Linked DNA regions of Diceros bicornis minor. The protein of the gene in region 4 purifies or fractionates together with the protein of the main gene of each other region. This does not show direct contact. Links are inferred from orthologs where the notes say so. Each region holds a gene or a part of one and is shown on either strand. Other genes may lie near its edges. The genes, in order: COPA, URGCP, IQGAP1 and HECTD1.

Region 1 (7,127 bases), on a different chromosome or scaffold from region 4:
GCCAAGATGCCATACAAATAACATTTTCTATGTCTCATGACATGACAAAGATTGGGAAGCACTGCACTAGAGGATGGATGATCTCCAGTCCAGAATGACTTGAGTTCTATGTAGCAATACCCCTCAAGTCCCCAGTGATCCATATAGAGACATTCTAGGGTCTCCCCATGAGTCTTATCCCCACTCAAAATTGGATGTGTTATTCATAAACTGTTTTAGAGCAGTAGTTCTCAACCCTGGCTGTGTATCAGAATATCACTCTGGAGTTTTAAAAAATACAGATACTTGGGCCTTACCTCAGATTTATTAAATTAAAATCTCTTAAGGTGAGGCCCAGGTAAGTGTTATTTTCAAAACAGGCTACATGTGGTTCTTTATTATACACAGCCAGGCATGAGAATTATGGCTCTAAAACCAAGGTACTGAAAACTTATAACCTGCATGAGACAAAAAGCGTAAGTACTTTTAGACTGCCAGCCAAGTAGAATTTTTCTCCCACGGGATCTGGTAAAATCTAGACATGGAAGCAGATCCTAAACATTGAACTATGTCTTATATATAGTAAATACTTAATAAGTTTATGTTGATAGTGATGATAATAAAATATAGAGAAATATCAGAATCTGGAATAACTTTAGTAAAGATCTAGCTACCAATGGCAGTCCCAAGTAAAACAAAAGACAACAGTTATTGCCACAGCATTTAAAACACAGGAAAAGGAAAAACTAGTCTGGCAAATAAAAAATATATAACTTCAGCTTCCAGGAGGACAGGAAGACAAGCTATGACACTGGACTGAAAAAATCTGGATTCTAATCTGGATTCCAGTTGGTAACTGTGTAGTCTTAAGTAACTTGCTTACTTTCTCTAGGGCTTCAATGAGGAGAAGCTTTTCCACCCCTATTCATCTCAGACTGTGCGGACAGATTAAAAAAGGAAAGAAAGAAAGGAAAAGAAAAGAAAAGAAACCCACATATAGCCCCCTTTGGGCACTTTAAAGGGGTCTAATAGAAACAGAGCATTATAATCAGAAAATCAAACCTGGGTCTTTTTCTCCTTAATTTTATCATGTTAGAAACCCTAAGTAAAGAGGGTATAGCTTGCTCAGGATGGACAAATACGATGAAGTAAGACTTAGAAATAAGTAGGTTGAAAAGGAAACAAGATCTTAATGAGGAAGTGGCCAGAGTCCAGCCCCTCCCCTCTTGTTTCTCTGTACTGGCACTTGGCTTTATCTCTAGAGGCTATTGCTTTGCTTCCCACAGGGCTGCTGCTCTAAGAACATGCAGCAGAATGACTCATTCTCAAAGAGGATATCTTAGAGCCCAGCTCCAGGAGGATAGGGTCGTAGCCTTTTGCACGAGAGTGGGATTCCAGCAAGACCAATAGTCTGATCTCAGCCCACACTGGACATGGCTCCCTTCTCCTCACAAACCCAGTTTAAGAACTAAATCCAACAAAAAATTTTATTTGGAACCAGTTAGCCTACTCTCAGTACTTCCTGTAACAGGGACGCGGGGCAATTAACATAGAGTATAGCTCATGGAAGGAAGCGTAGAAAAGTAGTAACTGCCACCTTGAGCGAGTCCTTCACTTCCCAGTGCCTCAGTTTTTTCCCACGAAATTGGAAGGTTTCACGCAATCATACAGTACTGCTGAGACCACACTACTTACTCAGCATCATCAATCAACATCTATTAAAGGCAGTTCAACTTTCAGCTTTGTGCAGGTATATTCTAACCATTTTTATAGGAGTAAACTGAAATTCAGAGGTGACCTATTTGAGGCTGAAGCAGCCAAGAGCTGAGTCTAAGTTTCCTGCTTACCTGCAAACTACATTCTGACAGAGCAACTAGCCACAGAAGAACAAAATCTGAAGAGAGCGGGTTAAGCAGCAGAGGAACCAGGATTCAGCCTTCAGATCACAACTTTTTCCCCTTTTATAGTTTTATAACCATGTTGTCATGGTACTCTGTTTTGGAACACCTTTACAAAGCATAAAGACAAATCTAAATGTTTCACTAATTCCTCTTGCAACAATTTGGCTTTCTCAATGCCTTCCCTTCAAATAGTTTACTGCCTTAAAGAAGCCCATCTTGGTTCCAAAAAGATCATTCAGAGTACGGATGATGACTGGACTCCACAGAATACGAGACTTCTTTCTGCTTAGGAAACAGTATAGTTTGCTACTTAACCTACTGGCTGGTTAAAACTTGGACCACCAGGGCTCACATCCTGGCTTCATTACTTATTGTCAGGATGATCTCGGAAGTTCCTCAACTTCTCCAAGTCTCAGTTTCATCATTTGTAAGATGAAGATAATAATAGAACCTACTTCATGGGGTTGTTGTGAGTTAAATAACATGCACGTGTAAGACACTTAATATGCAGCATTCACTAAATGTTAGCTCTTATTATCTTGCCTGGTTTGACAAATGGTTCTCTATTACCTCCAACCCACATAGCCTAATTTGTGTGTGCAGACTCCCAAGCAGGACTTGGATCTTTATATCTGGGGCCGACTGAAACATCAACAGTCACAAACACAAATCCCAACCTCAACTCACACTGGCAGCCAATCTGATGAGTGGCGTTGAGCAGACGAACACAGGGAGCTGTTTTATTTAAGGGGATGTAGATCTTCCTCTCCACTGAGTTTCCCCCACACAAACCTGATCAGAAGATAAAACGTGTTAGAAGAAAACAAGAGACATTGGTACCAGCCTCTATCATGTCATTAGCTCGCTGGACTGCTTGGGTATATCATACTTTCTAAAATGGGACTAATGTCCATTCTTCTTACTTCTTGGGCACATTATTGGAAAGATAAATGCACTCAGCTGTTTGCCTCAGAGGGTTACTACAAATTCCACATAGAGCAATTGACAATGAAGCTAAAAGACAGAAAATTTGGTTTGTCAAAGGAAAGGCAATTTAACCACAGATGTACTAGCTTTTGGTTGCACGGGTGACCACACTTCTGCTTTTCTATCCTGTATGTATATTACTAATTAGTTAATAAAAGAGTGCCAGTCTACGAACATAGATTAAAATAAAAAAATCTTTCTGAGACGTTTTTCCAGGAGTCTGAAGAGAACTGGGAGAAACCTTACACCACACACCTGTCAGTTACTCTAACATCAGTAGGTCATCCATGTGTGCCCACAGTGTGGGGCAGCTATAGTTTCTCCTTTGGAGATCTTTAAAAACAATGTAAGTTTGGGGGAAGGTAGGTCAGGGTTATAAACAGGCATGTTTATATTTTAGGGCTTGACCAACTAGAAAGCCATATATCAGAAAATAAATGTGTGTAAGCAAACACTTATGCACATTGTAAATGCCTAAAGTTCCCTGAATCATTCTTTCATGGTCTAAACAGTTAAGAGTACCCATATCCTATCTTTGTCTCACTTGCCTGACGAGACAAACTGAGGCAAAGCACAGAGACGCGGGTTTACAGTGGAATCAACAAACGAAGAAACGAAAATCTACTTTCCTAAGAGTCACACTGCGCACACACACAACCAGGCTGCTTTCAGAAAGTCTAAACGCGCTGAGAAGTGAAGCTGAACTCTGATAATGTCCGTTTTGATTGTAGGTGGGCTGACTGGGGCCACGGGGACAATGAGGCATCTGGATAAAGGGGGAGAGAGTCGGGCTGGAAGTCCAGGAAGAGGCCTGGAGGAGGAAATGGGGCGACATGACGTGCCGCAGGGGAAAAAGGACCTTCAGGTCCAGGCAAAGGGGGAACTTCTGTCGTGGGAACGAAAGAGAAGACGGATTTAGAGGGTGGGGGGACAGAGGGGCAGCGGAAACCAGAAGAAAGACAGCGGCGCTTGCGGTTGGGCCGATCCGGAGGGTTCTCCTTACACTGGAGCTCATGGGCGGGGAAGGCCTCACCTGCCAGTAGGACGCAGAAAGACAGAAGGCGAAGAAAACCTCGACTTCGCGGGTCAGCCACAGAGCCACCCCCCGCCGTGGCCATCTTGCCTCTCGGCTGAGCGGAAGCCTCGGTTCCCCTCTGGTCCAGCAGCGGCCTCTCTAGGCCAACACTGGCGCCGTCTCTGTGGCCCGGAGTTCCTCGGACCGGAAGTTGGTATCCGTGGAGCTTCCGGGAGCCGCTGCTGAGGGGCGCTGACGTGGAGGCAACCGAAGGGCGGCAGGGAGCGGTGGGGCTCTGATTAGCACCTTGGAGCCCGAGGCCTGAAGGATGCTAACCAAATTCGAGACCAAGAGCGCGCGAGTCAAAGGTAGTGAGAAGAAAAGGGGGAGTATGGAGGCTCGGTGTCAGGGGCGGCGCTCTCACGGGGGAAGAGAGAGAGGGTTGACGTGCCGGCCGAATTGGGCCCACCGTACGAACCCCGAGGAAAGTGGGAGGGAGGGAAAGTGGGAGGGAGGGAGGGAGGCTAGGCCTGGCAGGCGGTTCTCCAGTCCTCTCTTCTTTGTTGTGTCCTTGGGATTTGATTTATCTGTAGTGGTTCCCGCGTGGCAGGAGGGCCCTTAGCCCGCTTCCTATTCTTTCCCCTTCCCTCCTCTCCTAGGGCCTGTGCTCCCGTCATTTATTCTTCTGCTCTCAAGGCCCTGTGTGTTGGCTTTTTGACGACCGTGTTGTAAGGAGTGGCCCTGGGGATTGAGGATCGACCTCTACAATTCGCGTCTAAGTCAGCTTTTTCGGAGGCGAGCACTGGCTACTTCTCTTAAGGAGCCCTTGGCTGCACCATATCAACATCTAGTGCCACCACTGGGCTTTATTTCCTACCTGGAAACAGGACATTGAGGCCTGTAACCCCAGTAAAATCTGAGCTTGATAAGGTTGCCAGGTAAAATACAGGAAGTCTAGTTACATTTGAATTTCAGGTAATCAACAAGTAATTTTTTTAGTATTGCTCGTTGTTTATCTGAAATTCAAATTTAACTGGGAATCTTTATTTTTATTTCCTAAATATGGCAACTCTAGAGCTTGAGTATCAATGGATGGGGGTGGAGGGCAAATAACTGAAATCACTGTAGTAGTCTCCTAGAATGGTAGGGTGGGAAAGGCGGGGAAGTAAGGTCTCCTGAGACTTAAAAAAAGAAAACAACAACAAAAAAATATATATATATCTTGAACATTTAATGAGATGTAGCATAGCAAAGTGGTTAGAAACTTGGTGTTTGGAGTCAGATAGGCTTGCTTTGGAATCCTGAAACATCTACTAACAAGCTGTGTGACCTTGGACAAATTGCTTAACATTTCTAAATCTCTATTTTCTCATCTGTAAAATGTGAATAATTAACATTCTCTTATAGAGAGAATTAAAACGAGAAGGTATATGAAAAGTGCTTATTACAGTGCCTGGCGTAGACTCAGTAGCTCAAAAACTGGAGGTCATTATTAATGTGAGAAGAGATTCTGAGCAGTTTTTAAATGTCATGAGAATCTTGATCATGAAGAGTATCCTTAAGAATTCCTGGATGGTTGAAATGGGTCTTCATAATCCTTGAGTTTTCTCTTCTGCTCCTAACTTCTTGTTGGGTAGTAGAGAAAGAAAGTGGGAAAAAAAAGATGTCAGAATATTTGAGAGTTAATATCCATTAATGAGTATTTCTATATATCATAAAGGAAAAAAAACAACCTAATGGAACAGTAGACAATTTAGAAGAATGTAAATATTCAATGAAAGTAAATGAAAATGTTCTCCACTTTACTAGTAGTGAAAGAAATGCAAAAAAAAAAAGTGAGAATACCTTTTTTTCGGTCTTAAGTTAGTAAAACAAACAAAACAACAGATAAGTGATAACCTCTCACATTGGCCAAGGTGTGCAATATGGGTACCTTCAGAAACTTGGTGAGACTGTAATTGATAGTCTTTTTGCAGTCAGATAGTATCTACCGAAATGTTAAATGCACATATGCTATTCCTGAGCAATCCCACTTCCAGGTCTTTAGCCTAAAGCAATAATAATGCAAATAGGCTAGAATATGTGTGGAAGTGTCTTCATTAGGCCCAGTATTCTGATAGACAAAAGTTAGGGAAAAAAACGTAAAAGCCCATCAGTAGAATAATTTAAAAATATGATTCATTTGTACCTTGCAGTTTTTAAAAAGAATGAGGTTATGTTTATATGTACTTAAGTGTAATGAGATCCATGATATATAGTTAAGTGAGAAAAGAAGTTTGCAGAACATTATAATATTATCTCCATTTTAGTAAAGTGATATGGTCTGCATTAAAAATCTGAAAGGATACACTCCAAAATGTTAGCAGTAGTGACTTCTGTGGACTTCCGTTTCCAATCATAACGGAGTAACAGAGACCAGATTTATCTCACCACCTTAAACAACTGCACAACTGAACCGAATGTGGGAAATGAAGGTTTTCAGATGTTGGATGACAGGCAGTGAAGGAGAGTGATTCTTGAGAGAAGGGAATTAAACAAGATGAGTCCTATGATTGTTTTAGCTTACTACCTGGAGAGAGTTTCCAGGCTGCAATATAGGGAGGTGGGAAGAGCCCAGTGGTCTCACTGAGGAGACAGAATTTAAAGTTCAGGGAAGACAAGACAGCTAGAGTTTGCTGGGCAAAATACCAGAGAAGAGGGAGCTGCACAGAGAACCCTGGAGTTCTGCAGGGGATCCTGTCAGGGCTTTGTCTGAGGACTAATCTGCACATGCTTGTGAGGAAAAGTCCCAAAGCCTGGGAAAGAACCACTGGAGAGGAGAAGGTAGAACAATCTCTGGCGCTCACATAGAGCTGGGAATAGCTTGTGTTCCTAGCAGCCAGAATGGAAAGACCTCCTAATACTACAGGGCATCACATGGAGACCTCAGATGGGTGTTGCCTTAATAGTGGTGCCAAATTAGACCTAGTCTAAAGGCTGCTGGGGCCCCACCCTAACAAAACTTAAAAGGAAACCTCAGAAGGATCAGCTGATTCCAGGTAACTTAACTGCATCTTAAAACAAAGCCCAACAATATTTAAAGGAATATAACAAAAATCCAGCACCTAATAACAAAATTCATAATGTCTGGCATCCAAAGAATGAATGTATGAACCTAGGATTAACCTAGCTTTTTCTTTTTCATGTCAGAATTGACAGGAGGTGAAATTATGGGGCTTACTTAGCTTATTGGATCATTTGCTCTT
Region 2 (7,687 bases), on a different chromosome or scaffold from region 4:
AAATCTGCATTAATGCCACCTACAGGGACACAGTTTAGGGTCTATTGGCTCACAGAGGGGCATACCAGCCCAGAAACAAGTCTACTCCTGACCCATATCTACAAAGTTGTGGGCTTGGACACCAAATGCACCATTTCTTTTAAAGGGCCTCATGGCAGCCCCACATAGGCTCAGCCACCCCTGCTGCCTCCAGGGGGCCCTGCCTCACCCTTTCCTGACAAGAGGGGCAGTAACACAGCGGGACCTTGAACCCCTGGGTGAATCAGGCTGGTCTTCTGAGGGATGGGCTGCTGTTTACTCTATTTATGAGCTCAAAGTACTGGGTATTTCGTGAGCACTGCTCCCCAAACCTAGAAAGACAGCAAGTAGATGGAAAACGCCCATGACTTGGCTGGAGTCAAATCCAGGCTGCTCCATTAAGGCCCACTGCACTGAGCCAGTTCACTCCATGGCATGGCTCAGGCCTCACCTGTAAGAGGCCTGCTATCCATCATCTCTACCACACAGGCCTCGACAACTGTAAATGCTCTTCGTGAAATGTAAAGATGTACAATTTGAATTGCTATCACAGCCACTACTCTAAGACCCTCTGAATGGTAGACAACAGTCAAACGAAGAATTTTACCAACTAAAGCAATGACCTTGAGACTAATTTTCCTCCTCTGTGAAGTGAAGATGTTGGATCAATTCTTTCATTCCCAGCTTTCATGACTAGCTAAATTACCAAAACAAAAAGTAATCATAATGAAACGCTGAGGTTTTATTTCGCAAATAAGGATCTAAAAAAAAAATGACAACTCTGTCATCATTATTCGCTAAAAGGAACACGTTAATACGAAGACAGTAAAAGAGAGCTGATGTCAGAATAGGGGCAGCCATCCCACCAGGGCCCGCGGCCCGGCCGACCAGGCGCCCCGGACCGGGCCGGCGCGGGGTGCCCCCAGCCCTCGCTCCTAACGTTCAGGCCACGTCCCGACGGCGGTGAGAACCCAGCATCAACTCCGACGCGAGCAAGTGGAAAAAACACAGACCGAGGGCCGGGCGGCAGGCGCCCGCCGACACCCGGCGCCCGGGGCGGAGCGGCTCCGAGGCCTGGGGCGCCGGGGGCCGCGCCGCCCTGCCCGCCCTCCCCCGGCCCTGGCCCCGGCGCCCCCGGATCCCGCCCGCGCGCCGCTCTCCTCCGCCCGCGCCCCCGCAGCCCCCCGCCCGGCCGCGTCCGCCCAAGGTCGGCGGGAGCGGGCCCGGGGCCTGGAGGGCGGCAGGGGCCCAGGGCCGGGGGGCCGGGGGTCCCGCAGGCCGGGGGGAGGCCCGCCCCCGCAGCCCCCACCTCGCAGCCCGCAGCCCCGACCCCGGCGCGGCCCCGAGCGCCGCACTCACCCGGGCGACGCCATGAGCGCGGCGAGGTCTCGGCGCTGCCGCCGCCTCCGCTTCCTCCGCGCAGAGCGACTCCGCCGGGGAGGAGCCTCGCGCCGGCCACCGACCGACCGCCCGGGCCGCTCCAGGCGGCGGGGCTCGGGGAGGGGCCGGGGGTGCAGGGAGGGGGCCAGGGACACGCGGAGGGGGCTGGGGAGCGCGGGCCGGGGGCCTGGAGTCGACCCGAGAAGGCCTGTGAGTGGGCCCGTTGTACGATAGGGGTGCGGCCGGGTATCGGCTCGGGGAGGCGGGGGACGGGATGTGAGTGGGCCTGGGGTCAGCTCGGGGCGGCAGGGGCGAGGGGAGCACGGGGTTGGCACCGGGGGCGTGGGGCGGCCCACGTCGGCCTGCAGCGCGGACCCGCCCACCTGCCCAGGTGCCCCAGGTGCTCAATCTCCGGGACTCGCCAGGAGGCTCCTCTGGTGCAAAACCAGCCGAAAACCTGCCCTCGGGCCACGACGCAGCTGCCGGATTTTGGTGAAGTCAACACCTCCCTGCGATTTGAGTTTAATTTCCGTAAGAAAAGCCTTTCCTTAGTCCAGGACTACAAGGCGTTGTTATTATTATTAAGCAAAACAACAGCTTTGCTATTTCTTACTTGCTGTGCTGTCTTGTACAAGTTGCTGGCCTCTCCGAGCCAGTTACCCCCGTAAAATGTGTGTAAAATCACATTGTGGAGCCCTAAGGACTGTGGGCACTTTTATTATTTATGTTGCATTATTAAGCAATAATAATGAGTCTGGAATTCCTGCATTGGTGTTTCACAGCATCACTTGTGGGTGCTTGAGCCTCAGTTCCTGTCTCAGCAAAATGAGTTTTCAGAAGTAATTGAGCTCTTGTAAGTGAAAACGCTTAACAAAAATCTCTGAACAATATAAACCACTGTTGATCACATTTTTGTTATATTAAATATAATTAATCATTATGTTATTATTTTTACCAATTAGAATAAGAGACAACAAAGCAGTGACTGAAAGCCTTGGCTCTGGAACCAGAATACCTGGGTTGAAATCTGGGCTCAGCTAATTACCAGCTCTGGAACCTCAGGCAAGGTAGAACCTTCCCAGAGCCATAGTTTCCTCATTTGAAAAATAGGGATAATAATGGGTTGTTCCTTCCTCTCTCTGAGGGTTGAATGAGTTAATATGTGTAAAGTGATTAATACATTGCCAGGTACATGGTCTCTTTCCTTCCCTGAGAATCCATCCTTGTTCCCTTCAGTAAAATAGAAGGTCGCAATTGTTGTCTTGAGTTCAGAAAACAATTAATGCTCTGTCAATGTGAGCTGATAAGTAAAGCCACAGGGGCTTATTAGACCCAATTTAGGTATAAATCCAAGAGGACTAGGGTTAGAAAGAGTTTGGGGAGTGGGCAACCACTAAATGGCCTGATTGAAGGCAGCAATGATTGCCACTGGAGTGAGGGAGGTCAGATAATATTTTTAAATAAACTTTGTTTTAAAATATATTTAAAAATAAGTAATATATGTTCACTGAAATTAAATATTCTTCCTCAACATGTTTTAGTGAGTATGTGGCATTTCACAGCCGAACACACATTCTTCTCAAGTGCAAATGGAACATTCTCCAGGATAGACCATATGTTAGACCACAAAATAAGTCTTAATAAATTTAACAAGATTTAAATCATACAAAGTATCTTTTCTGATTACAATAGAATAAAACTAGACACCAAAAATAGAAGGAAAACTGTAAAATTCACAAATATGTGGAAATTAAACAACACACTCTCAAACAACTGATGGATTAAAGAATAAATCACAAGGAAATTAGAAAATACTTTGACAAAAATAAAAATAAAAACACAACATACCAAAACTTATGTGAGGCAGCAAAATTAGTGCTAAGAGGGAATTTTATACCTGTAAATATCTACATTAAAAAAGAAGAGGGGCGGCCCCGTGGCTTAGTGGTTAAGTGTGCGCGCTCCGCTGCTGGCGGCCCAGGTTCGGATCCCGGGCGCGCACTGACACACTGCTTCTCTGGCCATGCTGAGGCCGTGTCCCACATACAGCAACTAGAAGGATGTGCAGCTATGACATACAACTATCTACTGGGGCTTTGGGGGAAAAAACAAATAAATAAAATTATAAAAAATAAAAAAAAAAAAAAAGAAGAAAGATCTTAAATCAATAAACTCTATGCCTTAAGGAACAAAAAAATGAAGAGCAAACCAAACCCAAAGCTAGCAAAAGGAAGGAAATATTAAAGATTAGAGCAGACAAAAATAAAATAGAGAATACAAAAACAATAGAGAAAAATCAATGAAATAAAAAGTTGATTCTTTGAAAAGATCAACAAAATTAACAAACCTTTAGCTAAACTCACTAAGAAAAACAGAAGACTCAAATTACTAAAATCAGAAAGGAAAGTGGGGACATTACTACTGATTTTACAGAAATAAAAAGAACTGTTAGAGAATACTATGAACAGTTGTACACCAACAAAGCGGATAACCTAAGGGAAAAAATAGCTTTCTAGAAACACACGATCAACCATAACTGAATAATGAAGAAATAAGTAATCTGAATAGCTCTACAACAAGTAAAGACATTGAATTAGTAATCAAAAAACCTCCCAACAGAGAAAACTGTGGACCAGATGGCTTCACTGGTGAATTCTACCAAATATTTAAAGAAGAATTAACACCAATCCTTCTCCAACTCTTCAAAAAAATTAAGGAGCATTTCTCATTCTATGAGGTAATTACCCTGATACCAAAGCCAAACAAAGACACTACAAGAAAACTACAGACCAACATCCTTTATGAATATTGATAGAAAAATCCTCAACAAAATACTAGCAAACAGGATCCAGAAACATAGAAAAGGATTATACACCATGACCAAGCAGGACTTATTCCTGGAATGCAAGGATGGTTCAACATATGAAAATTGATTGATGTAATATATACATCAATATGATGAAGAAAAAAAAACACATGATCATCTCAATTCACGCAGAAAAAGCACTTGACAAAATTCAATGACCTTTCATGACAAAAACTCTCAAACTAGGAATAGAAGGAAACTTCTTCAACCTAATAAAGGCCATATATGAAAATCCCATACTCAGTGGTGAAGGCCTGAAAGTTTTTCCCTAAAACAGAAACAAGAAAAGGATGCTCACTTTTGCCACATCTGTTCAACACAGTACTGGAAATCCTAGCCAGAGCAATTAGACAATAAATAGAAATAAAGAGTATGCAAATTGAAAAAGAAGAAGTAAAATTATCTCTGTAGATGACATGATCATATGTGTACAAAGCCCTAAAGATTCCACAAAACCCAAACAACAACAACAAAAACCTGTTAGACCTAATAAACAAATTCAGCAAAGTTGCAGATGACAAAATCAACACACAAAGATCAGTTATGACAATGGCAGCAGGCCACACACATGTTAACACTTGCAGCAGGCCTGGCCACAGACCTCAGCAGTAGGTCCATCCATAGAGCCATCAGCCAGCCCACCCAGAATCTCTAACCAGGCTGACTGAAGAGGTCTTGCCCTGCTGACACCAGTCAATAAAGACTAGAAAAGGTACTGCTTCTTCAAATGCACAGATACCAACCCAAAGCCAGAAGGATCACAAAGAACCATGCAAATATAATACCACAAAGAAACCTAATAAAGCTCCAGTAACTAACCCTAAAGAAATAGAAGTCCATGAACTACTTGACAAAGAACGCAAAAGAATTTTCTTAAACTCAGTGAGAGAACAAAGACAGTCATCCCCAATAAACAGATGAAAAATCCTCACCAAATAGTAGCAAACTGGATTAAACAGCATATTAAAAGGATCACACACCATGAAAAAGGAAGATTTAGCCCTGGGATGCAAGGATGGTTTAAATTATGCAAATCAATCAATGTGATACACCACATTAACAGAATGAAGAATAAAAATCACATGATCATCTCAGTAGATGCAGAAAAGGCATTTGACAAAATTCAACACACTTTCATGATAAAAACTGTCAACAAAATAGGTATAGAAAGAACTTACGTTAACACAATAAAGGCCATTTATGAAAAGCCACAGCTAATATTATACTCAATGATGAAAAGCTGAAAGCTTTCCCTACAAAATCCAGAACAAGGCAAGGATGCCCACTCTTTCTTCTCCTTCAACATAGTGCTGTAAGTCCTAGACACAGCAATTAAGCAAGAAAAAGAAATAAAAGGCATCCAAATCAGAAAGGAAGAAGTAACATTATCTCTGTAGATGACATGATCTTCCATGTAGAAAACTCTAAAGACTCCACAAACACAAAAAATCTACTAGAACCAATAAATGAATTCAGTAAAATTGCAGGATACAAAAATCAACATACAAAAATCAGTTGCACTTATATACACAAACAACAACCTACCCAAAAAGGAAACTAAGAAAACAATCTTATTTACAATAACATCAAAAAGAATAAAATACTTAGGAATAAACTTAACCAAGGAGGTGAAAGACTTGTACACTGAAAACTATACAACATTGATGAAAGATATTAAAGAAGACAAAAGCAAATGGAAAGACACCCCATGTTCATGGATTGAAGGAATTAACATTGTTAAAATGTCCATACTACCCAAAGTGATCTACAGTTTCAGTGAAACCCCTATCAAAATCCCAATGGCAGTCTTTACAAAAAAAAAAAAAAAAGAAAAAATAGGGGCCGGCCCCTTGGTGTAGTGGTTAAGTTTGGCATGCTTTGCTTCAGTGGCCCAGGGGTTCGTGGGTCTGAATCCCAGGCATGGACCTATCCCACTCGTCAAGCCATGCTGTGGCAGCATCCCACATAGAAAATAAGAGGAAAGACGGGCACAGATGTTAGCTCAGGGCCAATCTTCCTCACCAAAAAAAAAAAAAAAAAAAAATAGAGGGGGCCAATCCAGTGGACTAGTGGTTAAGTTTGGCAGGCTTTGCTTCAGCAGCCTGGGGTTCGCATGTTTGAATCCCAGGTACGCACCGCTCATCAAGCCATGCTGTGGTGGCATCCTACATACAAAATAAAGGAAGATGGGCACAGATGTTAGCTCAAGTCTAATCTTCCTCAGCAAAAAGAGGAAGATTGGCAATGGACGTTAGCTCAGGGTCACTCTTCCTTACCAAAAAAAAAATAGAAAAAAAGAATCCTAGAATTCATTTGGAACCACAAAGGACCCTGAATGGTGAAAACAATTTTGAGCAAGAAGAACAAAGCTAGAGGCATCACACTTCCTGATTTCAAAATATATTATAAAGCTATAGTAAGAATAGAGAGCCCAGAAATAAGTCCATGCATTAACAATCAACTGATCTTTGAGAAGGGTACCAAGAACACAAAATGGGGAAAGAATAGTCTCTTCAATAAACTGTGATGGGAAAACTGGATTGGATATCCACAGGCAGAAGAATGAAGTTGGATCCTTATCTTACACCATATACAAACATCAACTCAAAATGGATTAAAAACATAAACATAAAACCAGAAACTATAAAATTCGTAGAAGAAAACATAGGGAAAAAGCTAAATATTGGACTTGGCAATGATTTCTTGTATATGACACCAAAAGCACAGGCAACAAAAGCAAAAATAGATTAATAGTGGGGCTGGCCCACTGGTGTAGTGGTTGTTTGCCCGCTCCACTTCAGCAGCCTGGGGTTCACAGATTCAGATCCTGGGCACGGACCTATGCACCGCTTATCAAGCCATGCTGTGGCAGGCATTCCACATATAAAGTAGAGGAAGACGGGCATGGATGTTAGCCCAGGGCCAATCTTCCTCAGCAAAAAGAGGAGGATTGGCAACAAATGTTAGCTCAGAGCTGGTCTTTCTCTCTCTCTCTCTCTCTCCCCCCTCCCCCTCCCCCTCCCTCTCTTCCTCTCCCTCTCCCTCTCTCTCTCTCTCTCTCTCTCTCTCTCACACACACACACACACACACAGAGTAGTACAGTAGTTCTAGCCATTTAAAAGCTATAGGGCCAGCCCTGTGGCTTGGCAGTTAAGTGCGTACGCTCCGCTACTGGCGGCCCGGGTTCGGATCCCGGGTGTGCACCAACGCACTGCTTCTCCGGCCACGCTGAGGCTGCGTCCCACATACAGCAACTAGAAAGATGTGCAACTATGACATACAACTATCTACTGGGGCATTAGGAGGAAAAAAAGGAGGAGGATTGGTAGTAGATGTTAGCTCAGAGCCGGTCTTCCTCAGCAAAAAGAGGAGGATTAGCACGGATGTTAGCTCAGGGCTCATCTTCCTCAAATAAATAAATA
Region 3 (7,165 bases), about 77 Mb from region 4:
TAACCTTCCATTTACAAAAACAAGTGTTATTATCATTCTCCCCACCTAAATCATCACTAATCCCAGTCCCCCTTCCCCAGTCTAATGGAAGGGCTTTAAGCTCAGAAAAGAAGCCTGGAATCAAGAAGACACACCAAATGCATGTTAGTGGTAGGCCCAAGGATGGGAAGGAGGAGACTGGGACCAGAGAGAGGCACAAAAAGGACTCCATGTCTTTTAAGAGGAAAGGGAAAGATCTGAAGGGCTAACAGTTGTTAGTTCTGGAATACATGGATGTTTGTTGTTTTGTTCTCTGGACTTTCCTGTAGCGTTTTAAGATCTTCAGAATTACCAAAACACTCTTGTTTATTAGCACCATTTGAAACATCCTTGATTTTCAGTAGACTTTGATCACCAATACCCTTGATTAGCCCTTGCTGGCCTTTTCCACCAAAGCTCACTTATAGGATAAATGATCTGTAATTACATCTATCTACCCTGGGACCTTGCAAAGGAACACAAGCACCAGAACAAAAGAAATGAACCACTGATAGCAAATTGACACTCTAACAATAAGACCACAAGGTCTGGGAGTATCAGAAAACAGCAGCTGTACATTCACTTCACAAAGAATGCAGAGGATGCTGCCTTTGGTAAACCGTCTTTTAACATTGCCAAATAGAGGACCTATACCCAGAGCATTACCCAGGGGAGAATGGACCCAATTCATATAAATCAAAACCAGTGAGAAACCAGTGAAACATAAAGGCCAAGAATTTCAAACACTAAAAACGCTATTTCTTCCCTACAACTGGCAGTGCCCAAAACACGCATCATAAGCATGAAACTGAACAACACAAATCTGGAAATTTTTCAGTATATGTAAGTGCCCATCAATGTTTCACGATAAACTGCTATCAAGGCTACTTGCTCCCATGAATAAATACCCTAACTATACTTATTCCTTCAAACTACCAGCCTCCCACAGTCACACCTACAACACATTCAAAGAGATCTTTATCTGTGTTCACACCATATCAGCTCCCTTCTCCCAGTCTTCTCTCCAGCCAGCCAATCTTTACCTCTTTGCTTCTTCCAAATGACAAAGGTACTCATAAGCCACATTCTGACGTCTCCTTTCATCCATCTCCTCTGCCGTGAGTCTCTCATTATCCAGGACAGCTAAAACATGAAAGAAAGAATGTAAACATAAGAATCTGTAACCTTCCCAAGCGATAAAAGAATGCCACAGCATCAAATTCCTGCTAGTCACCTAGAGACTCAGGGTAACCTGTGGATGTGTGGGTAGCCAGGTGTACAACAATGACTGTCCTAAAACAGGAATTACGGGGTTTCAACTATACTCATCTTACCCTTTTTTAAAAAGTATGGTAATATGAACATGTACTAAAATTCAGTGTAACTTGAAAAATACTGACTTGAGATTTTGGCCCAAATTTGTCCTCGTCTATCTGCCAGACTAGCTCTAAGTACAGAGCTGATCATGGTATCTCCCTCTTTTATTAACAACCAAAGCCAGCAGTCATTAAGAACTAAGTGGCAGTAATAAGGCTAAGCAGTTTACATGCATTCTCTCATTGAAGCCTCACTAGCCTGTAACTGTCACTCTCATTTTATAGATGAGAAAACTGAGGCTGGGTGATCTTAGCCCCACAGCTAATAAATGATGGGGCCTGGATCCAAACCCAGGCAGTGTCTCAAAAGCCTGTGAGCTTAACCTCTGCAATCAACCTCCTTCATGAGCACCAACGTATGGAATAAATTCCTAACTCCTTGGGATGGCATTCAAGGCCTTTCCCAATTTAGCGCCAACTATTTTTGGAAACTCTCCTCCCTCTCCCTGTTCTTCCTCCCACCACTGTGCACTCCACACCACTCAGTTCCTGTCACACACAGCACCCTTCCACTCTTCAACGCCTTAGAAGAGTTTATACTCTTCTCTCTTCGTCATGTCTCCTGGCCCACCCTGCCCTGTCAAACTTTACACAGCATCCTTGAAGACAGGCTCCGTCAGAACGTCACTCCCTGTGTTCCTCCTGCCTTCCCCACGCTCCTCCCCCCACTCAGGGTACTGTTTATGCCTAGTTAGTTCACTGCATCTTTTATCTTCACTACACCTTATTAGCATTAGGTTGTACGCCTGTTTGTCTCTCTAATGAAAACGTTCTTTGAAGGCAGGGCCTAGTCTTACTCATGTTTAATTTCACAAACGTGACACAAGACCTCACAGATAACTGTTGAGTGCAATTATCCTAAAAACAGAACATTAGTCCCAGAACATAAAACTGAAAACCTCAAGACTCCAAAGGACTCGCCTTTGGTAACTATGCCGCCTGATCCAATGATGTCCTAGGGACAGCAACAGAAAATGAGGAAGTCAGAGGTGGGTTTTTTTTTTTTTTTTTGAAATCCTGACGAGGGAACTAAGCCCACGAAAGCTGAAGTGACTTGACCAGGGCCACACCTCTCGGCTAGCCTGGGGCCGGGCAGGTATGGACGCCGGGTCCACCTCGCAGGCAGCACCTTCCCACGAGGCCGAGCAGAGGCCCCGTCTCCGCTCCCCGGCCCCGGGACACGCCCTGCGGCGTCCGCCTGCCACCTCACCCAGGGCCGGCTCCCCAATCTCGGTCGAGCGGCAGGCGAGAGGCGCTGGGTGGGGCCCTCCAGCCCCCGCGCCCGGTCCTCCCCGCCGCCTCGGAGACCGGGGGCGCGGGCCCGGGGCCTCGCCGCCCGCCACCCCTCCAGCCCGCCGCCGCCCGCCGCCCGGCTCTTCCGGGTCCGCGCGGCCCGCAGCCGCCCTGCCCCACCCGGCTGGCCGACTCCCCGGGGAAAGGGCACCTCGGAGGCAGCGAGCCCGGCCCGAAACCCCCGCGCCGCGGAGCCCCGCACTTACAGCCATAGTGCGGCCGGGCCACGCCCAGCCCGTCAACCTCGTCCGCGGCGGACATGGCGGCCGAGCCCGGGTCTGCTGAGGAAGAGGTGAGACCTCGGAGGCGCGGGCGACGGCGGCGGCAGCTGCTGCAGAGTGCGCGGGCTGCCCTGCTCCCGGAGGCCCCGCCCCGCGCCACCGCCCCACCCGCAGGCCCCACCCCAGCGGCCCCACCCTGCCGCGCTGACGGGAGCGGGCGGAAGGGGGCGGGGCAGAGCCGCCCGGCCCCGCCCTGCGCGCGCACGGTCCCGGGAGGTGGAAGGAAGGAGGCGGAGCCCGGCTGCCAATCGAGGTGCGACGAGCTCCGCTTGGTGGGGAAGGTCCGCCCCTGCCCTGGAGCCTTTGCGTCCCCGGCCGCCGCCCCGGCCGCGCCTCGGACAAAAAGGCCAACGGTGTCGGTTGCTTGAAATAGAAAACGTGGGCCTTCCCCTTCCACTGCCTGCCCATATAAATTCCTCTGCGCCAAAGAGCTCAAGGAAGGCGTCTGTTGAAGTGCCCTAGCGTGTTCTTGCTGGACACAAGCAGGACACAAACTGCCATAAGGGACCTCACAGTCTGGCAGTCTGGCTTCAGTCCTCTCCTAGATTCGCCAGCAGTCGCCAGATTTGGACTCCTCCACCCCCCAAGTATTTGAGAAGTGGGTGCTAAAGCAGGAGAACAGTGTTTGTCCAAACTTCCTTGCCTTGGATTTCCTGCCACTGTTAAGTTCTTCTTTTTAGGGGATTCCTTGCCCCTTTTAGGGATGCCTCTTCCTCTTGCACTTTGTGGCCTGCCCCTAAAATGTTGGTATTCAGCAGAATTCGGTCAGTCCTCTTCTTTGCCCACTCTTGGTAACTTGATCTGTGCTCACCTTGAACTGCTGAAGAGCCCTAAATATATATAGCTCCAGACCAGACCCTCTAGAAGCCCTAACTCAATATTTTCAGCTGTGTAATGGACATTTTCACCTCTGAATCCCGCAGACACTTCAAATTTAACGTGTCGAAACTGCCCCTGCTCCTGCTATATTCTCTACTAACAGAAGTGCTCAGTTCGCAGCCGGGACACGCCAGTCTCCTTGCCTCGTGCCCTAAATCCAATCGGTATTGCTTCTGAAGTGTCTTGCTTTTGTCTCTATCTCCACTGTGATTACACAGTTCAGATTGTCGTTATCTCTATTCTCCGTTCTGCCAACTAGCTCCTCACAGTCAACAGCATGTTCTTTCTAAGGTGCAAACGCAGTTGTGTTATTCCTTTTTATATTTTTTCCTATTACTCCCTTCGGGTTATGGTCCAAGTTCCTTAGCATGCCAAATAAGCCCCTTCACAACCTGACTCCAGGCTTTTTGCTCTAGCTGTTTTCAATTTATCCACTCTTCCTTCAAAGTACTAAAGTGAGTTGCTTAAAAACATAAGAACAAAACACCCCCATTAAAAAATGGGCAAAGGTTTAATTTACAACAAATTCAAAAGTTAGTTCTTTCTTAAGCTTTTAAGTTCAGCTTACAAATTTTATTCTAGTTATGTCTAGCATATTTTACCACTTTTCAGAAACTTTGAATAATTTTTGGTCCCATTCACAAACTTAGTTAATCCAACATCTTCAAACATTTAAAATTATGTCCATAAAAATATCTTAGATTTTCTTTTTAATTTCTTCAGTTATCTAATCTAGAACCTTTCAGAGTTTAGTAATCCTTATAAATCAAGTAAACGTACAAATATAATGAATCCAAAGTTTTCTTAGCCCAGTTCCAAGTGTAAACTTAGTAAGATTTCAACTCAAAATCTTAAGTCTAAAACTAACTCAATTATACATTTAAAATGAATTATAAGGCTGTCACTCTAATAAGCCAAAATTTCTTAAAGATTGCAAGTTCATGAAATGTGAAATATGCACATATTTCTTCTTAACACCAACATATTAATCCCACAGTTTTTACCCCATTAAGCCTTTCTGTATTTAATTCTAAAGCTTCTCTGAGTTGAAAGACACAGAGCTGCTAAGAAAGCCAGTTTCCAACCTAGTTAACTAAGATTACTTTCGATCAGACATTTCTACCAGACATAAGTCCTGGAGGCACAGACTTTTAGAGCCATTCTTCTCACTGCGTCAACTGTCATTTTGAGCCCCTTTTTATATTATGTCATGGTCTTCAAAACTCGTTACCTCATCCTCTAACTACTCTGAGAAATCTGCAAGTCCTACACAGTTTATCTTTTGATTTTATTTTATATTTCTTGGCTTTTAAGATATGTACATTGTGTTTTTATTTTAATTCTAAAGACCTGTGTAAATGGATGGAATCCAAACATGTAAATGTATTTTCTCTCTAACGATAAAGATTATGAACCTGTTGGCCTCTTGCATTTTTTCTTATTCCTAGGACCATACAATTCTAACAGGTATTTTTTTTTATAATTTTTTTAATTTATTTATTTTTCCCCCAAAGCCCCAGTAGATAGTTGTACGTCATAGTTGCACATCCTTCCAGTTGCTGTATGTGGGACTCGGCCTCAGCATGGCCATGGCCGGAGAAGCGGTGCGTCGCTGCGCGCCCGGAGCGCGAGCACTTAACTGCTAAGCCACGGGGCCGGCCCTCTAACAGGTATTTAAATCAATATCCTATTGAGTTTCAGATAGCTCACATTGCTTTATCTGATGGTCACAAATTAATTCATACTTCATAACTATAATAACTGAAATGTACTGAGGCGTTACTGGACTGTTTTGTATTTATTTTCTCATCTGAGCCTCATAATAATCCTACAGAGTAAGAACTGTTATTATCTCCAATTTACAGATGAGAAAATGGAGAACTAACTCAACTGAGGTCACACAGCAAGAGGCAGAGCTGGAACTCAAACCCAGGTTTGTCTAGTGACAAAGCCTACGTGCCTGGTCAATAAACACAAGATTCAGAGAAATGAACATTAAGATCATAACTGGCCACTTACCACTTCTTGCCTATCAGAGTAGCAATGTTTTGTTTTAATTGATATTATTGGCAAAGGGTTGAAAAAGCAACCACTCTCATGCACTGCTGGTTGGGCTGTAAATTGATACAATCTTTCTGAAGTCCAACTTAGCATTTATGTAGCAATCTTTCAAAGAATTCCACTTCTTTAAAAGAATATATCATAACAAAATTATTATTATTTTTTGTGTGTGTGAGGAAGATTGGCCCTGAGCTAACATCTGCCAATCCTCCTCTTTTTGCTGAGGAAGACTGACCTGGGCTAACATCCATGCCCATCTTCCTCTACTTTATATGGGACACCGCCACAGCATGGCCTGACAAGTGGTGCCTTGGTGTGCGCCTGGGATCTGAACCGGCGAACCCCGGGCAGCCGCAGCGGAGCGTGCACACTTAACCGCTTGCGCCACCCGGCCAGCCCCCAAAATTATTTTTTAATGTGCAAAAATTAGTGATGAAGATGCACATTGGAAATGTCTTAAAAGCCCACCACTAGGTTTTTAAATCAGTGATGGCACCTCCACACAATGGAACGCTATACAGTCATAATAGTGATGATTTGTGGTTCTGGTCAGGCTTGCCTGGCTACAAGGAATGGAGACCCACTTGTTTTACCTCTAGAGGAAAAAAGCCTGGAAGGGAGGTATTTCTAATAAAGATATATATGGATTGGAACTAGAGCAAGAAAAAACAGGACTAACGGAAGCTTGAAGGCAGGGCTCTGTCCCTCTGGGTATATCTGCTTCTCCACAGGTCTGCTCTTACCCTCCTCTCTTCGGCAACCAGCTTCATCAATTCTAATATTTTCTGCTCCGTCACAACTCTGGCTTCTATTTGGCTTGCCATGGCCTTGGGCCATGACATCCTTACACCATCAGCTCCTTTGAGGATAATCTCAGTTGCCCAATTCCCGTAACCCAGTGGCATATGATTGGCCCAGCTCATCTCTTCACCCCATGTGTATGTTTCTGAATGCCCACAAGTGGGCTGCCCTTGGATCAGATGCCAATCCTTTAGTTCAATTAGCTGTGGTCAGGAAATACAGCCAATTAAGGATAGAAAACTGTGAGCTGGGCATTATTTCCTTCAATGGGAGGCTGGGTAGGCAAACAATGATCAATATTCCTAATATGATGGTTAAGTGGAAAAAAAAGCAAATTATGAACTAATAAACATATTATGATACCATTTTTGCTTTAAAAACATATAGATAGATATAGATGTGCATATGAATAGAAAAAAGCCTTGAAGCCTATACACCAATACATTAACAGTGGTT
Region 4 (7,970 bases):
AATACTTGCAAATTATACATCTGACAAGGGACTTCTATTCAGAATACGTAAAGAATTCTTACAACTCAACAATGAAAAGACAAAGAACCCAATTTAAAAATGGGCAGAGGATCTGAATAGACATTTTTCAAAAGAAGATGTATGAATAGTCAATAAGCACATAAAAACTGCTCAACATGGTTAGCCATTAGGGAAATGCAAATCAAAATCACAATGAGATACTACTTCATACCCACTAGGATGGCTATAATAAAAAAGACAGATAATAACAAGGTAGAACCCTCATACACTGTTGGTGTAAATGGTACTGATGCTTTGGAAAACATTTGGTAGTTCCTCCAAAAGCTAAACTATGCGGCTCAACAATTCCACTCCTAGGTATATACCCAAGAGAATTGAAAACATATAAGTCTACCAAAAAATCTGTACATGAATGTTCACAGCAGCATTATTCATAATAGCCAAAAACTGGAAACAACGCAAATGTCCATGAACTGACGAATAAAGACAAAGTAGAATATCCATACAATGGAATATTGTTCAGCCATAAAAAGGAAGGAAGTTTTCACACATGCTACAATATAGATGAACCTCGAACACATACTGGTGAATGAAAGAAGCCAGATATAAAAGGCCACATACCATTTATATGAAATATCCAGAGTAGGTAAAAACAGAGAGATAGAAAGTAGATTAGTGATTTCCAGGGACTAGCGGTTGGAGAGAATGTGGAGTGACTGCCAATGGGTATGGGATTTCCTTTTAAGGGTGATGGAAATGTTCTGGAATTAGATAGTGGTAACTGATGCACAACTTTGTCAATATACTAAAAGCCACTGAACTGTACATGTTAAAATGATGAACATCATGGTATGTGAATTATATTTCAATAAAGCTGTTATTAGAAGTTTATATATACATATATGTGACGTGTACACATATATGTATATATAAACTTCATATACATATATACTTATACATATAAAAATATATACACTTGTGTATACATATTATGTACACATCAGAAAATTGAATATAAGCCTAAAGAAATTGAATAATAGGGCCGGCCCCATGGCTTAGCGGTTAAGTGCACGCGCTCCGCTGCTGGCGGCCCGGGTTTGGATCCCGGGCATGCACCGACGCACTGCTTCTCCGGCCATGCTGAGGCCACGTCCCACATACAGCAACTAGAAGGCTGTGCAACTATGACATACAACTATCTACTGGGGCTTTGGGGGGAAAAAATAAATAAATAAAAAATTAAAAAAAAAAAGAAATTGAATAATAAAAAACTTTGAAATCACAGTCATGATGATTTTCAAAGAAAAACTAGTACAGATAACATTTCCTTGAAAGCTTGGTGGTTAATTTCCTTGGTCAAGAAGCTCCCTGCCTTAACCTCTAGAATACCTCAGTATATCCACATTCCCACGTTAATAATACATACATCTAGTCTGCGGGTGTTATCAAGCCATTTGCATTTACCTAGTAAATCACACACTATTCCCCAGGCTCCACATTTACATTAAATTCCGATTTACGTTCCTGGGTCTTAAAGACAAGGATTCAGATAATCTATGGCAAATGACCTCCAGGGAAGTAAAAGATAATTTTGGTTTTGAATGACCTAGATGGATTTGTCTCCTAAGCAGCTTTACTTGAATAACTGCTCACCTCTCGAACTCTGCTATGGCAGACACATAATCTCTGAGAGTAGAAGTTTAATCCTCATGGCTGAAGTAAAGCAGCTAGTTTTCCAGGCTCAGCTAATTTAAACCTGGCCCTCAGGCTTCTTTAGCTAGCTGATAAAAGGGATCAAAACGATTCCCTGAATAACACGTGAGTTTGGATGGGGATGGGTAGATGAATTTTGGACTTTGGTGATGTAAGAAGTCCAAGAAAAGGGCTTAAGACTTGTTTAATGTCATACTAACTTCATATTGTTTACTAATATGATCACAAACTGTAATATATATGATTTTACATGTTTATGCCTAGAAAAAAGGCCATAGAAACGTTATCAAAGTGTTAATGACAGTCTCACGGTGGTAGGTGATTATTATTTTTTCTTTTTACTCTATTGGAATTTTCCATTGGATGCTTTTGATACATAAAAAATTTAATGCCATATAGTTGTGTTATCCATAAGATAATGATTTATTTAAAAAATTAATTTATAGTAATGCCTGTGGGTGGGATAAGAGTTTAAATGTAAATGATGAATCTCTTCCTTCTTGATCTTGTGAAAGGACTCTAGTGACTGTGTGTATATTGAAGATCCTTCGTGAAAGTGAGGCCTACCTCAAAAGGTGGCCTGTTCCCTCTGCTCGCCCAAGAGGAGCCCTCTTCATACTTCCATGCCTCTCCACATGGTCTTCCTAATGGAGACCTAATGGAGTTGGTCTGGCTAGCTCCAACTCAACATCTGAGATCCAGCCCGCGCATCATTTTCGAAGCCTTCTAAGACACCATTACCTCCTTGATGTTTCCAGCGTACCTGACAATGTTATGGGATAAGTACTATCGTAGAGGCCGACACGGGAAGTGTGTTTACATCTACCCTCTCCTAGACTTTTATAGTTTATTGAAGATGAGGCCTATGAGTTACTGTGCCTGGCACATAAAAATTCTCAATGTCCATTATTCTTAGATTTTAACATTGAGGTGGATTATTAGCATGTAAACATATCCTGGTTTCCTGGGATATAGATTCAAGTAGGGGCAGTATTGCCTTCATCTGCTTCCTCTGTTTTCTTCAGGGCTTAATTCCTTTCCTTTAATGCTCTTGTTCTAGGATCTCATATTTGAATTTAAGATAATAATGTCATAATAAAATCACAATAAAAGTCACAGCATTTTCTTGATAGATTTCTTTAAAGCATACCACAGTCATTAATTTTGGGGGGGGGGTAGGAAGTGGGTGGTGCAGATAGAGATGGTGAGGGAATAAAGGAAAATATACCTTCAAAACTTTGAAAAGTGTAGTCACTTTTTCCAACTTCTCTATTTTCTGTTAATAGCATCATCATTTCCCTAGCTTCCAAGACCTTTCTGCAGGTTAAAAAACTAATTGAAGTTAATCATTTAAATTTTGACATATCTTTAAAAAAAATTTTTTTTAGATGTATTTCTTCTCCATTCTTATTGCCAGTAACTAGGCTCTTCCTCCATCCACTATTGGAGGATTTCAGCAACCTCTCAGCTAATCTCCTTGTCTAGGTAGCTCCTTTTAGCCACTGGACATTTTTGCCCTAGAAATCTTTCTAAGACTTAATTTTTCCAGTCAATGTTCTAGTCCACTGTTACTAGTAACTTGTAGTAACTTGTTACTTACTCCAGCCTAAATTCTGCATTCAGCATTCAGCATTCAAGGCCCTGCTTACTTTAGCTGCTACCTTCTCTCCCTCCCATTGCTTAATGCAGGTGCTTTGCTTGGGGCACAGGGCCTCTTTCCTTTGTCTCAGAACATACCAGGCTTTGTATTCTTCCCCCTCCCTGTAGTGTCGACATTCTACCCATTCTTCAAGGTCCAGAAAGAATGCCACTTCCTCCTTGAAGATTTTCCTGGCAGCTCCAAGTCATATTCATAGCTCCCAAATAATTATTCTCATGTGTTGTAGTTGTGACAAGTTAGTAGAATCCTCTACCTTTTTCTCCTGACTTGATCTGTTAATAGGTGACCTAGGGACCATTACCTGCGACAGTAGCACATGTGCCACAGATATGTGAAGTGCAAATCTGTAATTTCCAAAATACTGGTTCTTCAAGCATATGCAGCAGCTCCTCCGATTGCTTAAAGGAATACATCTCAAAGACTATCGTGTAAGATTCATTTTTGTTTAAAAGATGAAAAAGTGAGAGTACAGCGGGAGTGTCTGAGGCATGGATTTACTTATCTCACAAACCAAGGGATTCATTTTCTTATTTGACTCACATTTCCAATTCATTACAGCTTAAACACCTCCAACCACGACCTATAAGCAGGCATATTTTATTTTCAATTCGTGTAAACTAAAACGTTTGAAGGGAATAACCACGGACACATTTGAGACCTCAACCCGCAGAAAAAAAGAGTCAAAAGCACACTCAGCGCTGCTGCTCACTGGGGACGCCAGTGGAATTTACGGTTTCTGGAGCCTCAGTTCTCCCATCTGCACAATGGCGATAACACTCGATAATATTTACTTCCGAGGGTTGTGGTGAAAGCTTTTCTTCCTGGCGAACTGCGGCGCGGTCTGCTTTTCCTCTCGCGACGCACTTCCGTGTGCGCGAGGCCAGGCGAGGCCCGGCGGGGAGGAGGCGACGCTCTTGGCGGAGGACCGGTCGCCGCGGCCGGAGGCTCGGCCGGCGCGGGTTGGGCCGCAGCGTTGGCGCGCAGCGTGGGGCCTTCGGCGGGAGCACGCCAAGTGTGTAGACGCCGTGCAAAACAAGCGGAGCGTGCGCGCGCCGGTGTGCGCGGGGCCCGGGAGCGCGCTCGGATTGACAGCGAAGCGTAAAGGCGCCAGGGCATCGGAGAGACAAGCGACAGCTGGCGAGGCCAGCGAGCCCGAGGCTCGGTGGCCAGAGCGCCCGGGCCGGCGCCCCCGCGCCGCTGGCCGACGGGTCTCCGCAGCGCCCCTCGTGGCGGCCGGCGGGGTCGCTGCCAAGGAGCGTCGCTTTGCTCCGCCCCCGCCGAGCTCGGCTGCCCTCCGCAGCCTCCGCGCCCGGACCCTCTTCCCTTCCCCCTCCGGAATCGCGATGGACGCGGCCTCCCGCCGCCGCCGCCGCCGGCAGCACCGCGCGGGCCTCTGAGCTGCAGGGCCTGAGGAGCCGCGTGCTGGGGACGGGAAGTGCGCTGGCGGCCGCCGGTCGGGGGAACCTCTCGCTTGCCTGTCACCGGCTCCCCGCGGAGGAAGGGGAGGGACGAGGCGCGGCTTTTCCTGTGCCGCCTGCCCGGCTCGAGCTGCGCGGCCTGCGGCTTCCTGGGAACTCGAGGGCCGCGGCCGGGCCTGGCTCTGCCCGCGGCCTGCTCGGAGCTGGACCGGAGCGCTTTGGGACGACAGGCCCGGGTAAGAGCCGGAGGGGAGGGAAGGCGGGAGCGCCGTGGGCGGTCGGAAGGGCCAGGCCTGGGGCCGGGATCCGGGGATGCCCGGCGGCGGGCCGGGAGCGAGACCCCGGCCCCGGGTGAGGGCGGCGGGGCTGCTGCCGACTCCCTGGCTTAGCCCCTTTGTTCCCCTCCCCCGGCCCTGCCCGCGGCGGGGCCCGGCTTGCCTGAGCCCGGGCCCAAGACGGGCCCCCCTTGCCCTTGAGAAGGGTTCGCCTCCCGGCCGGCCCGGGGACGTCCCGCCGGGCCTCGGAGTTCCGGGCGCCGCTCGGCCCGGAGGCTGGCTGCTTCTCCTCCAGAACTTCCCCTCCTCCCCGATACGGGGAGCTAACTTAGCGGGGTTGGTGCCGGGAAACCAGGGCGCGGGGCTTCGCCTCCCGGCGCGGGGCTCGGCCGGGCCCGGGGTGTTGGGTCACCCTGCTGGCCGCCGCCGTTGGGTGCCCACCGCGCCCCGCCGCTGGAGTCCCACACCTGCAGCTGGGTACGCGGGCCCCGAAGCTGTCCTCCCGCCGGGCGCTTCCGAGCTTTTGTAAGCACTTGCCTGTTGGGGCTGCTTCTCTGTTTTGTCTCTTTTCTTAGCCAACTGTCCCATTCTGTAGAGATGGGGAGAGAGGGCCGTAGATTGGCCTATACTCTGATCCGTAACGTGCTATTCCCTTGCATTTGCTCTTAGTGATTCTTTTTAAACTTTTAAGAACAGTTGCCAAGACTGCCAAAATTCCTAACCAAGCCTTTAGTCATAGATAGATTTGGTGTCTAATTATCGTTTGTATGTGGGGTGGACATCTTAAGAAGAGCGGTAAGTTAAGTCGTCAGCAGGTTTTGTCAATTTTAAAGCAGCAACTTAATTTGAAGGGGGATTGGATCAAAGTGCTTAGTTTCCTCAAAATACTGAATCTAACCCTTATCTGAAGATCTGTTTTGGGTTGGACGGGAGAAGTTTGCTGGAAAAAAAAGAACCTTTAGTAAGGTGTTCTTTGCCTTTTGGCACAGAAGTTAGTGATAGCAGTAGTGGGATCCGAAGCTTGACTGACAAAGACTGCTCTGGTTTCCAGTTAAGCAACAACCTAATCAGTTTATACTCTTGTGCAAAACTGGTTTTTAGTTAGTATGATAAGTGAACGGTAAACCTGAGGAATAAGGAAAGTTGAAAAACTGCATTAAGCGCTCTATCCAAACATACTTATGAGTTTTCTCTAATTCTAGGAGGACACCACGAAAATTTGGTTCTAGCTGATGTAAAAGAAAACTTTTTAAACCCAAGCTGATCAGTCCTGGACATTTAAAGGACTTTTTACTTTACTTTTTTAATTTAAGCAAAAAGGCTTTTAAAAAACCATGGCAGATGTGGATCCAGATACGTTGCTGGAATGGCTACAGATGGGACAGGGAGATGAAAGGGACATGCAACTAATAGCCCTTGAACAGCTATGCATGCTGCTTTTGATGTCTGACAACGTGGATCGTTGTTTTGAAACGTAAGTACATCCCTTCATCATCTTCCTTTGGGGTTACTGTAGTGCCATCTGTTTTCAACCATTTGCTGACTTCAGTTTGTGAGGAATTTTCTCTAGTGAGTTTTACAGCTATCTTTTTAAAAGTTTCTGCAGTTTTGCAGTTAAAACTTTTCTGAGAAATAAAAACTGGTAGGTGAAGTAACTCCAGTAATGATAATTGTGATGACACAAATACACGTTTGTTGAATGAGTAGAAATTAGTAGAAAATACTAATTTTAATGCATAGCTTGGTTGATTCATTTTCAAAATATGTTATGAACTGGGAAAATATAAATACTTATCTTCTTTAAAGGTAGCTATTTCTGTACCAAGAAATTGACTTGAAATTTTTGGCGTGAAAATACAGATGATAATAAACTTATGTTTTATGACTGCTTGTTTCTTCCTTGGTGTTAAGTCATGACGTTGTACTTTTGTTAAAGCAAATCATTGGTTTGTAAATTTCAGTTTGGAGGGTATAAGTTGGATGTTACCCAAATAGCATCCTTTTGGAATAGTAGAAACAGATTTTGAAGTTTGGAGAGTTTAAACGATTTTATTAAGAGGTTATAATGTAGAATTTGTGCAGAAATGTAAAAGAGAATTCGTCACTGGATTGGCTATTAATGCCATGTTTTTCCTCTTATGTAATACTTGTTTGATTAACCATTCTTCTGAGTGCTCAACACGTTTCGTTTTTACTGTTTATTTTATATTTGTATTTATAATTGTGAATTCCAGTTATAAGTAAATGAAAACTCAGATGTTTCTGTATTTTAATGCTATTTTAAAGTATTTAGTAGAAAATGCTTGAGATGTTGACATAAAATTTGGTATAATTATCTTAATTTTTTTGAGGTGGAAATAAAGGCTGTATTACTAAATTAACATTATTTTAATTGTCTTCATTTTTGAATGAATAGTGAATGGAGATGAATTGATAAACAATAATTCTTAGCTGTAAATCTCATTAAAACAGTACTATTATGATAAAAGTCTTTATAAACAGTTGCCAAATCACAATCTGTTAGTGTCCCATTTTTTTGTGTGTGTGAGGAAGATCAGTCCTGAGCTAACATCCGATGCCAATCCTCTTTTTTTTTGCTGAGGAAGATTGGCCCTGGGCTGACATCTGTGCCCATCTTCCTCTACTTTATATGGGACACTGCCACAGCATGGCTTGACCAGCAGTGTGTCAGTGCATGCCCGGGCTCCGAACCTGCGAACCCCGGGCCACTGAAGTGGAGTGCGAGCACTTAACCACTGCGCCACCAGACTGGCCCCTGTTAGTGTCCCATTTGTTTCAACTAGTTTTTGTTATTGACAAACTTTGAGTATATAATAATTTAGCCCCTCCATTGACACTTGTTTTAGCAGGATGCGTGGAAAA

The links.
Region 1: the proteins of HECTD1 (region 4) and COPA purify together in Homo sapiens (affinity purification with mass spectrometry, with the first as the bait; 3 studies listed by BioGRID). This does not show direct contact. The link is inferred for Diceros bicornis minor from reciprocal best matches to the Homo sapiens genes HECTD1 and COPA.
Region 2: the proteins of HECTD1 (region 4) and URGCP purify together in Homo sapiens (affinity purification with mass spectrometry; 4 studies listed by BioGRID and IntAct, with this or other methods). This does not show direct contact. The link is inferred for Diceros bicornis minor from reciprocal best matches to the Homo sapiens genes HECTD1 and URGCP.
Region 3: the proteins of HECTD1 (region 4) and IQGAP1 purify together in Homo sapiens (affinity purification with mass spectrometry; 3 studies listed by BioGRID, with this or other methods). This does not show direct contact. The link is inferred for Diceros bicornis minor from reciprocal best matches to the Homo sapiens genes HECTD1 and IQGAP1.

Annotation. Positions count from the first base shown.
Region 1 is NC_080743.1:65,001,488-65,008,614, reverse strand, and holds the start of COPA (coatomer subunit alpha), read left to right. Parts: upstream 1-4,109; 5' UTR 4,110-4,210; coding exon 4,211-4,250; intron 4,251-7,127. Other genes in the region: NCSTN (nicastrin), read right to left, coding at 2,568-2,672, 3,901-3,985. UniProt on the Homo sapiens protein: The coatomer is a cytosolic protein complex that binds to dilysine motifs and reversibly associates with Golgi non-clathrin-coated vesicles, which further mediate biosynthetic protein transport from the ER, via the Golgi up to the trans Golgi network.
Region 2 is NC_080780.1:1,092,836-1,100,522, forward strand, and holds the start of URGCP (up-regulator of cell proliferation), read right to left. Parts: upstream 3,020-7,687; 5' UTR 1,392-3,019; coding exon 1,378-1,391; intron 1-1,377. UniProt on the Homo sapiens protein: May be involved in cell cycle progression through the regulation of cyclin D1 expression. May participate in the development of hepatocellular carcinoma (HCC) by promoting hepatocellular growth and survival.
Region 3 is NC_080744.1:94,456,546-94,463,710, forward strand, and holds the start of IQGAP1 (ras GTPase-activating-like protein IQGAP1), read right to left. Parts: upstream 3,007-7,165; 5' UTR 2,949-3,006; coding exon 2,894-2,948; intron 1,162-2,893; coding exon 1,062-1,161; intron 1-1,061. UniProt on the Homo sapiens protein: Plays a crucial role in regulating the dynamics and assembly of the actin cytoskeleton.
Region 4 is NC_080744.1:17,489,382-17,497,351, forward strand, and holds the start of HECTD1 (E3 ubiquitin-protein ligase HECTD1), read left to right. Parts: upstream 1-4,962; 5' UTR 4,963-5,048; intron 5,049-5,481; exon of another isoform or gene 5,482-5,612; intron 5,613-6,289; 5' UTR 6,290-6,421; coding exon 6,422-6,561; intron 6,562-7,970. UniProt on the Homo sapiens protein: E3 ubiquitin-protein ligase which accepts ubiquitin from an E2 ubiquitin-conjugating enzyme in the form of a thioester and then directly transfers the ubiquitin to targeted substrates.